3 linked regions of the Macaca fascicularis genome follow. The protein of the gene in region 1 purifies or fractionates together with the protein of each later gene. This does not show direct contact. Links are inferred from orthologs where the notes say so. Each region holds a gene or a part of one and is shown in the gene's direction. Other genes may lie near its edges.

What was found. Proteins that work in one complex are often made in the same cells at the same time.
Region 2: the proteins of DCAF4 (region 1) and COPS5 purify together in Homo sapiens (affinity purification with mass spectrometry; 4 studies listed by BioGRID and IntAct, counting the BioPlex papers as one, with this or other methods). This does not show direct contact. The link is inferred for Macaca fascicularis from reciprocal best matches to the Homo sapiens genes DCAF4 and COPS5.
Region 3: the proteins of DCAF4 (region 1) and CUL4B purify together in Homo sapiens (affinity purification with mass spectrometry; 9 studies listed by BioGRID and IntAct, counting the BioPlex papers as one, with this or other methods). This does not show direct contact. The link is inferred for Macaca fascicularis from reciprocal best matches to the Homo sapiens genes DCAF4 and CUL4B.

What each region holds. Positions count from the first base shown.
Region 1 is NC_088381.1:140,826,759-140,830,258, forward strand, and holds part of DCAF4 (DDB1- and CUL4-associated factor 4), read left to right. Parts: exon of another isoform or gene 1-873; intron 874-980; coding exon 981-1,082; intron 1,083-1,204; coding exon 1,205-1,302; intron 1,303-2,678; coding exon 2,679-2,852; intron 2,853-3,500. UniProt on the Homo sapiens protein: May function as a substrate receptor for CUL4-DDB1 E3 ubiquitin-protein ligase complex.
Region 2 is NC_088382.1:77,031,989-77,035,488, reverse strand, and holds part of COPS5 (COP9 signalosome complex subunit 5), read left to right. Parts: intron 1-24; exon of another isoform or gene 25-198; intron 199-1,888; coding exon 1,889-2,037; intron 2,038-3,500. UniProt on the Homo sapiens protein: Probable protease subunit of the COP9 signalosome complex (CSN), a complex involved in various cellular and developmental processes.
Region 3 is NC_088395.1:126,811,059-126,814,558, reverse strand, and holds part of CUL4B (cullin-4B), read left to right. Parts: intron 1-1,029; coding exon 1,030-1,137; intron 1,138-2,123; coding exon 2,124-2,237; intron 2,238-3,464; coding exon 3,465-3,500.

The sequences.
Region 1 (3,500 bases):
TCAGCCTCCCGAGTAGATGGGATTACAGGCATGTTCTACCACACCTGGCTATTTTTGTACTTTTAGTAGAGATGGGATTTCTCCATGTTGGTGAGGCTGGTCTCGAACTCCTGACCTCAGGTGATCCACCCGCCTTGGCCTGCCAAAGTGCTGGGATTACAGGCGTGAGCCACCGCGCCCGGCCTGGATTGTTCTGTTTCTCAACCTGATTGGCGGGTACGTGGCTATATTTAGTTTGTAATAACTCCCTGAACTGTATCCTTCCAATGTGTACGTTCTATCAATGCAAAAGTTTATTTTAAAAAATATTTTATCAAAGCATGGTGACTCATGCCTGTAATCCCAACACTTTGGGAGGCCAAGGCAGGATAATCATTTGAGCCCAGGAGTTCGAGACCAGCCTGAGCAACATAGCAAGACTCCAATCTCTACAAAAAATAAATAATAAGCCATGTGTGGTGACTCACACCTGTGGTCCCAGCTACTTGGGAGGCTGAGATGGGAGGATTTCTTGAGCCTGGGAAGTTGAGGATGCATTGAGCCATGATCATGCCACTGCACTCCAGACTGGGCAAAAGAACAAGACCCTGTCTTAAAAATACGTATATCTATATATATCTTTATGTGTGTGTGTGTGTGTCTGTGTGTGCGTATGTATATACACACACACTTGCCTGAGATCACATAGCTGGTAGGTGATCGAGGATCGGAGCCACCTTACCTCTGACAGTACACTACCTCCTTGATATCAGTACTATAAACGTGACTACTGGGAATGTTAACATACATGCATTTTCAGAATAACCACTTGTGAGCCAGGCATCCCAGCTGAGCCTCTCTCTTGCAACCACAAAACCCAGAATGGGGCCAAAGGTATAGACCCTCTGAGCAGCTATGGGCATATTTAGATGTTTTCTGAACCCAGTGGTCCCTGGCCTGGCTAGAGGGCAGCCACAATTTACATTCTCCTATCCCCTTAGCAGGAATAGACCGGCCTGGCATGCTCTGCAGTTTCCGGATCCCTGGTGCCTGGTCCTGTGCCTGGTCCCTGAATATCCAAGCAAATAACTGCTTCAGTACAGGTGAGCCTGGCTCCCCAGGTGCCCAGAGAAGAGGCCTTAACAGACCTTAAAACCCCTGTAGCTGTCCCTCTCCCCAGACTACATGTGACATAATCTCACCAGCCTATCTCTGTCTCCGCCAGGCTTGTCTCGGCGGGTCCTGTTGACCAACGTGGTGACGGGACACCGGCAGTCCTTTGGGACCAACAGTGATGTCTTGGCCCAGCAGTTTGCTCTCATGGTTAGTTGGATTGGGACAGGCAGAATATAAAGTTTGCCCCGTGCAGAAATTTGGCCAGATTGAAATTGGACTCCTCTGTGTGCCATCTAGTCGTCTTTGACAGGGGAGAAAGAGCATCAGAAAGGCTCAGTGGGTTCCTTTGTAAGCGTGTCTGAACTGAGTGAAAGTTGGTTGATCCAGAAAGGCTTGCCTGAGTTGCTCTAAACAACCTCTCATGGAAAGGAATTGTGAGCAGTTCTTGGGTACTTGGAGTTACCCAGCAGGACAAACCATCTTTAAAATGTATAAGCTAAACACCAATTCTTCACAGCTCTCAGGTTATATGTTTTATATATTTAAAAAATCAGGGCCGGGCACGGTGGCTCACGCCTGTAATCCCAGCACTTTGGGAGGCCGAGACGGATGGATCACGAGGTCAGGAGATCGAGACCATCCTGGCTAACACAGTGAAACTCCATCTCTACTAAAAATACAAAAATTAGCCAGGTGTGGTGGCGGGCGCCTGTAGTCCCACCTACACGGCAGGCTGAGACAGGAGAATGGCGTGAACCTGGGAGGCAGAGCTTGCAGTGAGCCGATATCGCACCACTGCACTCCAGCCTGGGCAACAGAGTGAGACTCCATCTCAAAAAAAAAAAAGAATTTAAGCTTGATAAATTCAAGTCAGTTTAAAAAAAAAAAAAAATCAGGCCAGGTGCAGTGGCTCATGGCTGTAATCCCAGCACTTTGGGAGGCCGAGATGGGTAGATCACGAGGTCAGGAGTTTGAAACCAGCCTAGCCAAGATAGTGAAACCTCTTCTCTACTAAAAATACAAAAATTAGCTGGGTGTGGTGCCAGGCGCCTGTAATCCCAGCTGCTCAGGAGGCTGAGGCAGGAGAATCACCTGAACCCGGGAGGCGGAGGTTGCAGTGAGCCGAGATGGCACCACTGCACTCTAGCCTGGGCGACAGGGCAAGGCTCTGTCTCAAAAAAAAGTGGTCATAACTATATTTTAAGGACTTTTCTCTAGAAAATACCATCTTTCCTTAAAAGTGAATGAACCTGCTGACCCGCCTTTGGTAGAGATGGGGTGCTATCTCTGGGACTTCAGAGAGAAAGGCCAAAGGCGGCAGTGCGTGGGGGGGCGGGGAGCAGGCAGCTCCTAGGACCTCTATGCTGCCCATGAGGAGGACACGTGGGGTCTGGTTCTTCTAGCCACTAACAAGGAATCATCCTCCCTTCCAACTCCATTGAGACCCAAACCCTGACCAGCACGTGTCTGATCACACCATCCAACCCAGAGGCTGGAAGAGGGGTTATAGCAGGAGGACCTGCCCCGCCCAGCCTCAGAGGGAGGTCATGGTAGCCAGGACCGAGCAGGCCCTCTTTCCACAGGTTCCTCTGCTGTTTAATGGCTGCCGCTCTGGGGAAATCTTTGCCATTGATCTGCGTTGTGGAAATCAAGGCAAGGGATGGAAGGCCACCCGCCTGTTTCATGACTCAGCAGTGACCTCTGTGCGGATCCTCCAAGATGAGCAATACCTGATGGCATCAGACATGGCTGGAAAGGTAGGGGATCATGAACTTTCTCAGGCCACAGGGTCTCGTGGCCCAGAGACCTGCCAGGTGAAAGGGTTCTGCTGAAGAGGTCCTCATACCGAGACCCCAGGCAGGGGAAGTTCACTGAAGACCAAGTGATTTGTTGGCCCTGCCTGGGGACTGCTTTGTTGCCCATATGAGCCTAATCTGATGTGAACAAAAGTGAAAAGGATTCTTTGGTTGTGTACCTTTTTTTTTTTTTTTTTTTTTTTTTTTTTGCAACGAAGTCTTGCTGTGTTGCCCAGGCCGGAGTGCAATGGTGCAATCTCGGCTCACTGCAACCTCCATCTCTCAGGTTCAAGCGATTCTCCTGCCTCAGCCTCCTGAGTAGCTGAGATTGCAGGCACCCGGATAATTTTTGTATTTTTAGTAGAGACGGGGTTTCACCATGTTGGTCAGGCTGATCTCAAACTCCTGACCTCATGATCTGCCCACCTTGGCCTCCCAAAGTGCTGGGATTACAGACTTGAGCCACCACGCCCGACCTGGTTACATGCTTTTGATGGACTCCAAGGCTCAGGAATTCGAGATGGAGATCTTCATGACCTGCACAGGCCACTGGAGACCACCTTGCCTTCCTGGCTTCGCACTTGGGGACCACCGTTGTACCTCCTGGCC
Region 2 (3,500 bases), on another chromosome or scaffold:
GCTTTATATGTGTTGTTTCCTTAGAGGCAAGTATACTAATAGCAGCCAGAAGTGACACCTGATGGCAAGGGGAGAAAACACTGTAAGACCAGAGCAGTCTGAACCTTTGTATAAGGCAAGCAGATCTACCTACTCAGCCCAATGTCTGTCCCTGTATTCCAGCACTGCATAGATGAGGACATTAATAATCAAGAAAAGGTTAAATTACATTTCTGCCTTTTTTTTGTTTTATGTATAGTACATTGCAGCATTTTAAGAACAAATATGTAGACATATGTTCAACTTCTCTCTTCCCCCAGCTAAGGAAGTTCATTATAGCATGTAACCTAAGTTATTTTCTAATTTAAGAAATTAGTTTACTATATTCATTTTGTGTACATTTGAAATGTAATTGGATATCTTTTATTGTCATTTTAATAGTATAACTATTTCTGGTAGCCTATATTTTTATGGCTTAAATAGCTCTATAAACTTTAGGGTTTTTTCCAAGTCTGCGGGAGGAAAAACATACTGGTTTCCTAAACCATTTAGATCCAGACAAAATGAATATACTTGCATCTTTTAAAAATACTAAGTTTGTAAAAGTCACTGGAAGAACTGGTATGGCAGCAAATAACTTTTCTTGTTTGGTGACTGACTGTCTTTCCTTGCAAGCTGAGCAAATAGAATGACATGCTACTTTTTGCCAACTAGTTTATTTCCTCTTCACACTCTTCTATTGAAGATCTAGGAAAGAAATATAATGTATACTTAATAACTTTGTGAAATTTTTTTGTGTGTTTTAGACTACAATTAAAAAAGTATACCCCATAAAAATATTGGTAAAATATGTAATATTATAGTTTTTCAAATGTAGGTATACATGTAAGCATATAGCAATGCTCTGTAATTGTGGTTAAAGCTAAATGAAGAGATTATAAATGTGTTTGTTTTCTTCTTTATATTGCTCTACATTTTCCAAATTTTTTTGTATAATTATTAATTTTGTAACCAGAAAAGATTTTTTGTTTGTTTGTTTGTTTGTTTTTTAAAGACAGAGTTTTGCTCTTGTTGCCCAGGCTAGAGTACAATGGCACGATTTCGGCTCACTGCAACCTCCGCCTCCTGGGTTCAAGTGATTCTCCTGCCTCAGCCTCCCAAGTAGCTGGGATTACAGGCTCCTGCCACCACGCCCAGCTATTTTTTTTTGTATTTTTAGTAGAGATGGGGTTTCATCTTGTTGGCCAGGCTGGTCTCAAACTCCTGACCTCAGGTGATCCACCTGCCTCAGCCTCTCAAAATGCGGATTATAGGCATGAGCCACCGCGCCCGACCCAGAAAAGCTTTTAAAATGTTATTTTTATCAATATTGTCATAAGTACTAATTCTAAAAGTTCAACAAAAATAATAGCAAAATTAGCTAATATTACTAAGCCTTTACTAGGTGTCATGGACAGTGCCAAAAACTTTATATGCATTACTTCATTTAATTTTCACTGTAGCTCTAAGGTAGGAATTATCGACTCCCTTACCATTTTCAGAAGAGAACCTGGAGGCATACTTCAGGCCTTCAACTAATCTGCCATACTTCCAGAACTTGGACTTAGGTCTGTATACTTGACAGCCTCCCATAATAACAAATATTAGATTTAAGCAGTCAAGGAGAAAAATTCCAAGTAATCTTGAAATTATAAAAGGGAAAACATCTATCTACTCTTGAACTACCTGAATTTGGAAGCAGATTTGCAAATGTAATTTGATTTCTCTTCTCACTGACTATTCACTCAGATTTTATAGTGGAATTCTTTGCAAATGAAATATTCTTTGTAGGAAATTAGTTTACATTAAAATAGATTTTTTAAATGGTAGACTTATGTTTTGTAGTGACACAATACCATTTTCCCCACAGAATGCAGACTATACCACTGGTCAGGTCTTTGATTTGTCTGAAAAGTTAGAGCAGTCAGAAGCCCAGCTGGGACGAGGGAGTTTCATGCTGGGTTTGGAAACGCATGACAGAAAATCAGAAGACAAACTTGCCAAAGCTACGAGAGACAGGTAAGAGTAAATCTGTAAGATTCTTGTTGCCCCTAACTCTTTTTCTTTCAAAATTTGCAAACAATAGTAGGATTCAGATTCCTTATGGCTCAACTTAGTTACGACTTAGAACGGTACCTGAATATTAACTTCTTGGAAACTTTAGGAGCTGTCAGACACAAGTTTTAACTTTGAAAAATTTAGGATACATCAGGTAAGAACATTAAAAGGCTTAAATCAAAGATCTAAGCAGTGTTATGGAACACTCCCAGTCACCTTTTCTAAGTTCAACTAGAAAGTGTAACAAAACCAGCCCTTCAGTGGATCTTTAAAGTGTGTGTGTGTGTGTGTGTGTGTGTGTGTGTGTGTGTAAGTAACTAGGATTTCTTTTTTTTGAGACAGAGTCTTGCTCTGTCACCCAGGCTGGAGTACAGTGGTACAATGGTGTGATCTTGGCTCACTGCAACCTCCGCCTACTGGATGCAAGCAATTCTCCTGCCTCAGCCTCCTAGGTAACTGGGAATATAGGCACCCACCATCATGCTTGGCTAATTTTTTTGTATTTTTTGTAGAGATGGGGTTTCACCATGTTGGCCAGGCTGGTCTTGAACTCCTGACCTCAGGTGATCCACCCACCTGGGCCTCCCAAAGTGCTGGGATTACAGGCACGAACCACCGCGCCCAGCCAAAATTAGGATTTCTTAAATTTATAATATTTTAATATTCAATAAAGCTTTAAATCCTAAGATATTACGGAAGTGATTGTCTCTCTCTCAAATTGTGCTTCTAAAACAGTAATTTAGTATCCCAAATTTTACTACCAAAGATTTTATTAGGAACAAATTTGGGATATGTTCTCTAATAACTTATGAAATAATTATGTGGACCTTCAGATATATAGGCTATACAAAGTTGCATAGATTAACAACATTTACTTTCACAGAAATTTGAATTTTAGGCTGGGCACAGTGGCTCACACCTGTAATCCCAGCACTTTGGGAGGCCAAGGCGGGCAGATCACCTGAGGTCAGGAGTTCAAGACCAGCCTGGCCAACATGGTAAAAGCCCGTCTCTACTAAAAATACAAAAATTAGCCAGGCGTGGTGGCGGGCGCCTGTAATCCCAGCTACTCGGGAGGCCGTGGCAGGAGCATCGCCTCAACCCAGGAGGTGGAGATTGCAGTGAGCCAAGATGGCGCCATTTCACTCCAGCCTGGCCAACAAGAGTGAACCTCTGTCTCAAAAAAAGAAAGAAAGAAAAGAAATTTGAATTGTAATGCAATAATTAGGGGCAGAAAGGAAGGGAGAACTACATTGACTTCTATACACACTTACATGTTGGTATCTATTTTAAGAACTGGTTTGGTTTATAGGGAAAAGAGGAGAAAAGGGTCCCTGAAGTGTATCCTGGGATTGGAGGTCATTTTGGGTTAGCCTTATTTCACTGCCATCTACTCAGTGGGTTTTTAGAAGGTAGAGCTAGTG
Region 3 (3,500 bases), on another chromosome or scaffold:
TTTGTACTGAAGAGGATAAATAGAAACGTGTTTGTTGTAATTACTTCATGGTAACTGAGGTGATATTCACAGTAGAAAAAAAACCATTGGTGAAATATAAGTATATTTGACCTACTTTAGGATTTATTTTTAACAAACACCCAGAGTAACACAAAAATAAAAATAAAATGTATTGAACTGAAGTCAGTACAAGAAGAGCTATAGTGGGAACAGGGCTTTCCCCAGCATCTTATCATTTGGTGATTTGCATGTTCAGAGCTTGCAGTGGGGAGAGAGGAGAAGTGATAATGTAGCTGGATAAAGCCTTTGGGGACACTGGGGATAGAAAGCTAGATCCACAGTTTTGAAGATGTAGGTAGAAAGTAGTTTTGAAATGTTTAAGAACATAGGTGATAGTGATGGCAAGTTAGATTTTCCTCTTTTGGGGTTTTAGTAGTGACTTCTTTACCCCACAATGTTGCTAAGGTGGGAAGTGGAAGTGAAAGAATTAAGAAAAAATCAGGGTCAGTAAGATTATGAATTCTATAGTAGCTACCGAATGGGGCTTATCTGCTTTGCCCTTTTCCCCTCTTTTTCCTTCCCTACTCCAGGCCACTCCCTGCAGACAGGCAGTGGAGCAAGCGAAAAACTGGAGACTTGGGCTGGCTGGTGGGGTGAGGAATGGGGATTGCTGCAAGATGTTTAAGCCATGTAGGGGTATTCAAAGGTGGGGACTGCAGGTGGTATTGGGGAAAAGAGTGGAGGAGAGATCCTATAACAGCCCAGCTGTATGTGAGAAATTATTTAAGTTGATAATGCCTGTAATGAGGTCATGTGATCCTTGTATGCCTTTGTATCAAAATGTTAACCTCTGTACTTGCCTAATGCATTTTGTGTAGGCTTCATTTAAAGTCCTCTTAATAATTGCCTTTTATTTTAAGGATGGTCAGTGTTTGCATATAATTTCATAACGGGGAACTTCTTAAATAGGTTATTATGATACGAAATGTATGCAGTTTTAAGATCTCAGTGTGTGTTTTGATCTTACAGTATATGCAGAATCAGAATGTTCCGGGAAATATTGAATTAACTGTGAATATCCTGACAATGGGCTATTGGCCAACATATGTGCCTATGGAAGTTCATTTACCACCAGAGGTAAGAGTTACTGTTTAGAACCTGAGTTATAGGCATAGAAATCATAACATTTCCATTTTGCTTATCATTTAAAAATAGATACTTAGAAAAAAATAGAGACCCAGGGCCTCACTGTATTGCTCAGGCTGGTCTTGAACTCTTGGGCTCAAGTGATCCCCCCTGCCTCAACCTTCCAAAGTACTGGGATTACAGGTGTGAGTCACCAGGCCTGGCATAGATACTTTTAAAAGTGAATGTCAGTAAACACACCAACACCAAATACCAACTGCTTTAATATTTTACTTTTGTACTTCTAAGTCCAGTTAAGAGCCTAGCTAATAATGCCAAAGTTCTGGGTTCAGGATCAATTTCCCTGGCTCTTCTTCCATCTTCACAGATTATACCCCTCATTCTACCTAGTTATTAAGAATTCTTGCACATATTTCACCCATAGGTGGGATTGCTAAATGATGGGTGCTTGATTAAATCTATCCTGACTCCTGGGAAACTGTCTAGCCCAGGACTGAAGTCCATAAAAGGGATTAAGGCTAGACAGCTAGATATTGAGAATCCTCCATGGAGATGGTTATGAAGGCCCAGGGAGTAGATCTGTCTCAAAGAGGAAGAAAAAACAGCAGAGGCAGAACTTTAGAAAAGGCTCACATTTGGCAGATGGTAGAAAGAGGAACCTGTGAAGGAAACCAGTGCAGAAGCAACAGTGAGATAAAGGAACCAGCATAGTATAGAGGCACAAAAGCTGCTGCAGGTCAGTGTTTCAAAAGAGTGGATGATTAAATGGTTCAGATAGAGCAAAGGGTATAAATCCTAATAAATCCCATTTGATTTGGTGGTTGGGAGATCATTATTTTTCATCAAAGTGATTGGTGGACCTACTGGATACAGTCTTAAAATTTTCCAGAAATTATATCACATGAGGTAAGTATAAAAAGTGGTAAATGTAGTATTGGGTATAGAGCTTAAATAAAGCCTTATTTTATTTACTTTAGATGGTAAAACTTCAGGAGATTTTCAAGACATTTTACCTAGGCAAACATAGTGGCAGGAAACTTCAGTGGCAGTCAACCCTAGGACACTGTGTGCTTAAAGCAGAATTTAAAGAGGTAAGTGGATGTTCCCAAAACTTTTAGTTTTCATCTTTGTCTTTAATATTTAGGTCATCTTTCTTAACTAAAAGGTTAGGCTATTGTTTTGTGTTTTTTTTTTTTTCAGACAGAGTCTCACTCTGTCTCAGGGTGGAGTGCAGTGGCGCTATCTTGGCTCACCGCAACCTCCGCCTCCCAGGTTCAAGTGATTCTCCTGCCTCAGCCTCCCGAGTGGCTGGGACTACAGGCGTGCGCCACCATGCCCAGCTAATTTTTTTATATTTTTAGTAGAGACGGGGTTTCACCATGTTGGCCAGGATGGTCTCTATCTCTTGACCTTGTGATCCACCTGCCTCAGCCTCCCAAAGTGCTGGGATTATAGGCATGAGCCACCGCGTTTGGCCAGTTTAAGCTATTGTTTTATAATTGTATCCTAGATATCCGCATGACGACAGTGAGAGCTTGTCATAGCTTTATGTATTTTTAAGTAATTTTAGCTGTGTGGTCTTTCCACAATTGATTTGGCCCTTTTGCAAAACGAAAAGCAATGAACTTTTCCCCTACTCTTTCCTCACCTGTAGATGAAAACTTTACACTGCCACTTCCTATTTTTATTTATTTATTTACTTTTAGAGACAGGGTCCCACTCTTGTCACCCAGGCAGGAGTACAGTGGCACAATCACAGTTCACTGTAACCTCAAACTTATGGGCTCAAGCTATCTTCCTGCCTCCGCTTCCTAAAGTGCTGGGATTACAGGCATGAGCAACTACACCCAGCCTAACACTGCCACTTCTTGACAGAAATTTTGTTGCTGGGAGCTACGAATAGAGTGGGAGTTAAGGGGAACAGTGTGCAATATCTAATCTCAAAAAACTTTAGCTTTTCATGACTAATCTGAGCCAAACAAATAAAAAATACATTTGAAATAGTGATTTCTTGCTGCTTGTGATGAAGATCTAGAATGACACATAAGGCTGATTAATTTTCATTACTTTATTCTATTTATAAGGCTTAAAAAAAACTGTTAAAAGGTCAGCTAATCCTTCCCCCTGTTTTAGGTAGGGTCACACCTAAACCCCACACTGAAATACTGTATTACTACGTCAAGTGGCTTTGCTGGATAATGCTAATCATGTTTCTAAATCTACTAATTGAAAAATGCTTTTCCTGTAAGAGATGATTTGATTAATTTTTCATGTGTTTTTAAAAAAGTAATGGCTAAACACTTTTATTTCTTCAACAGGGTAAAAAAGAACTCCAGGTCTCTCTTTTTCAAACA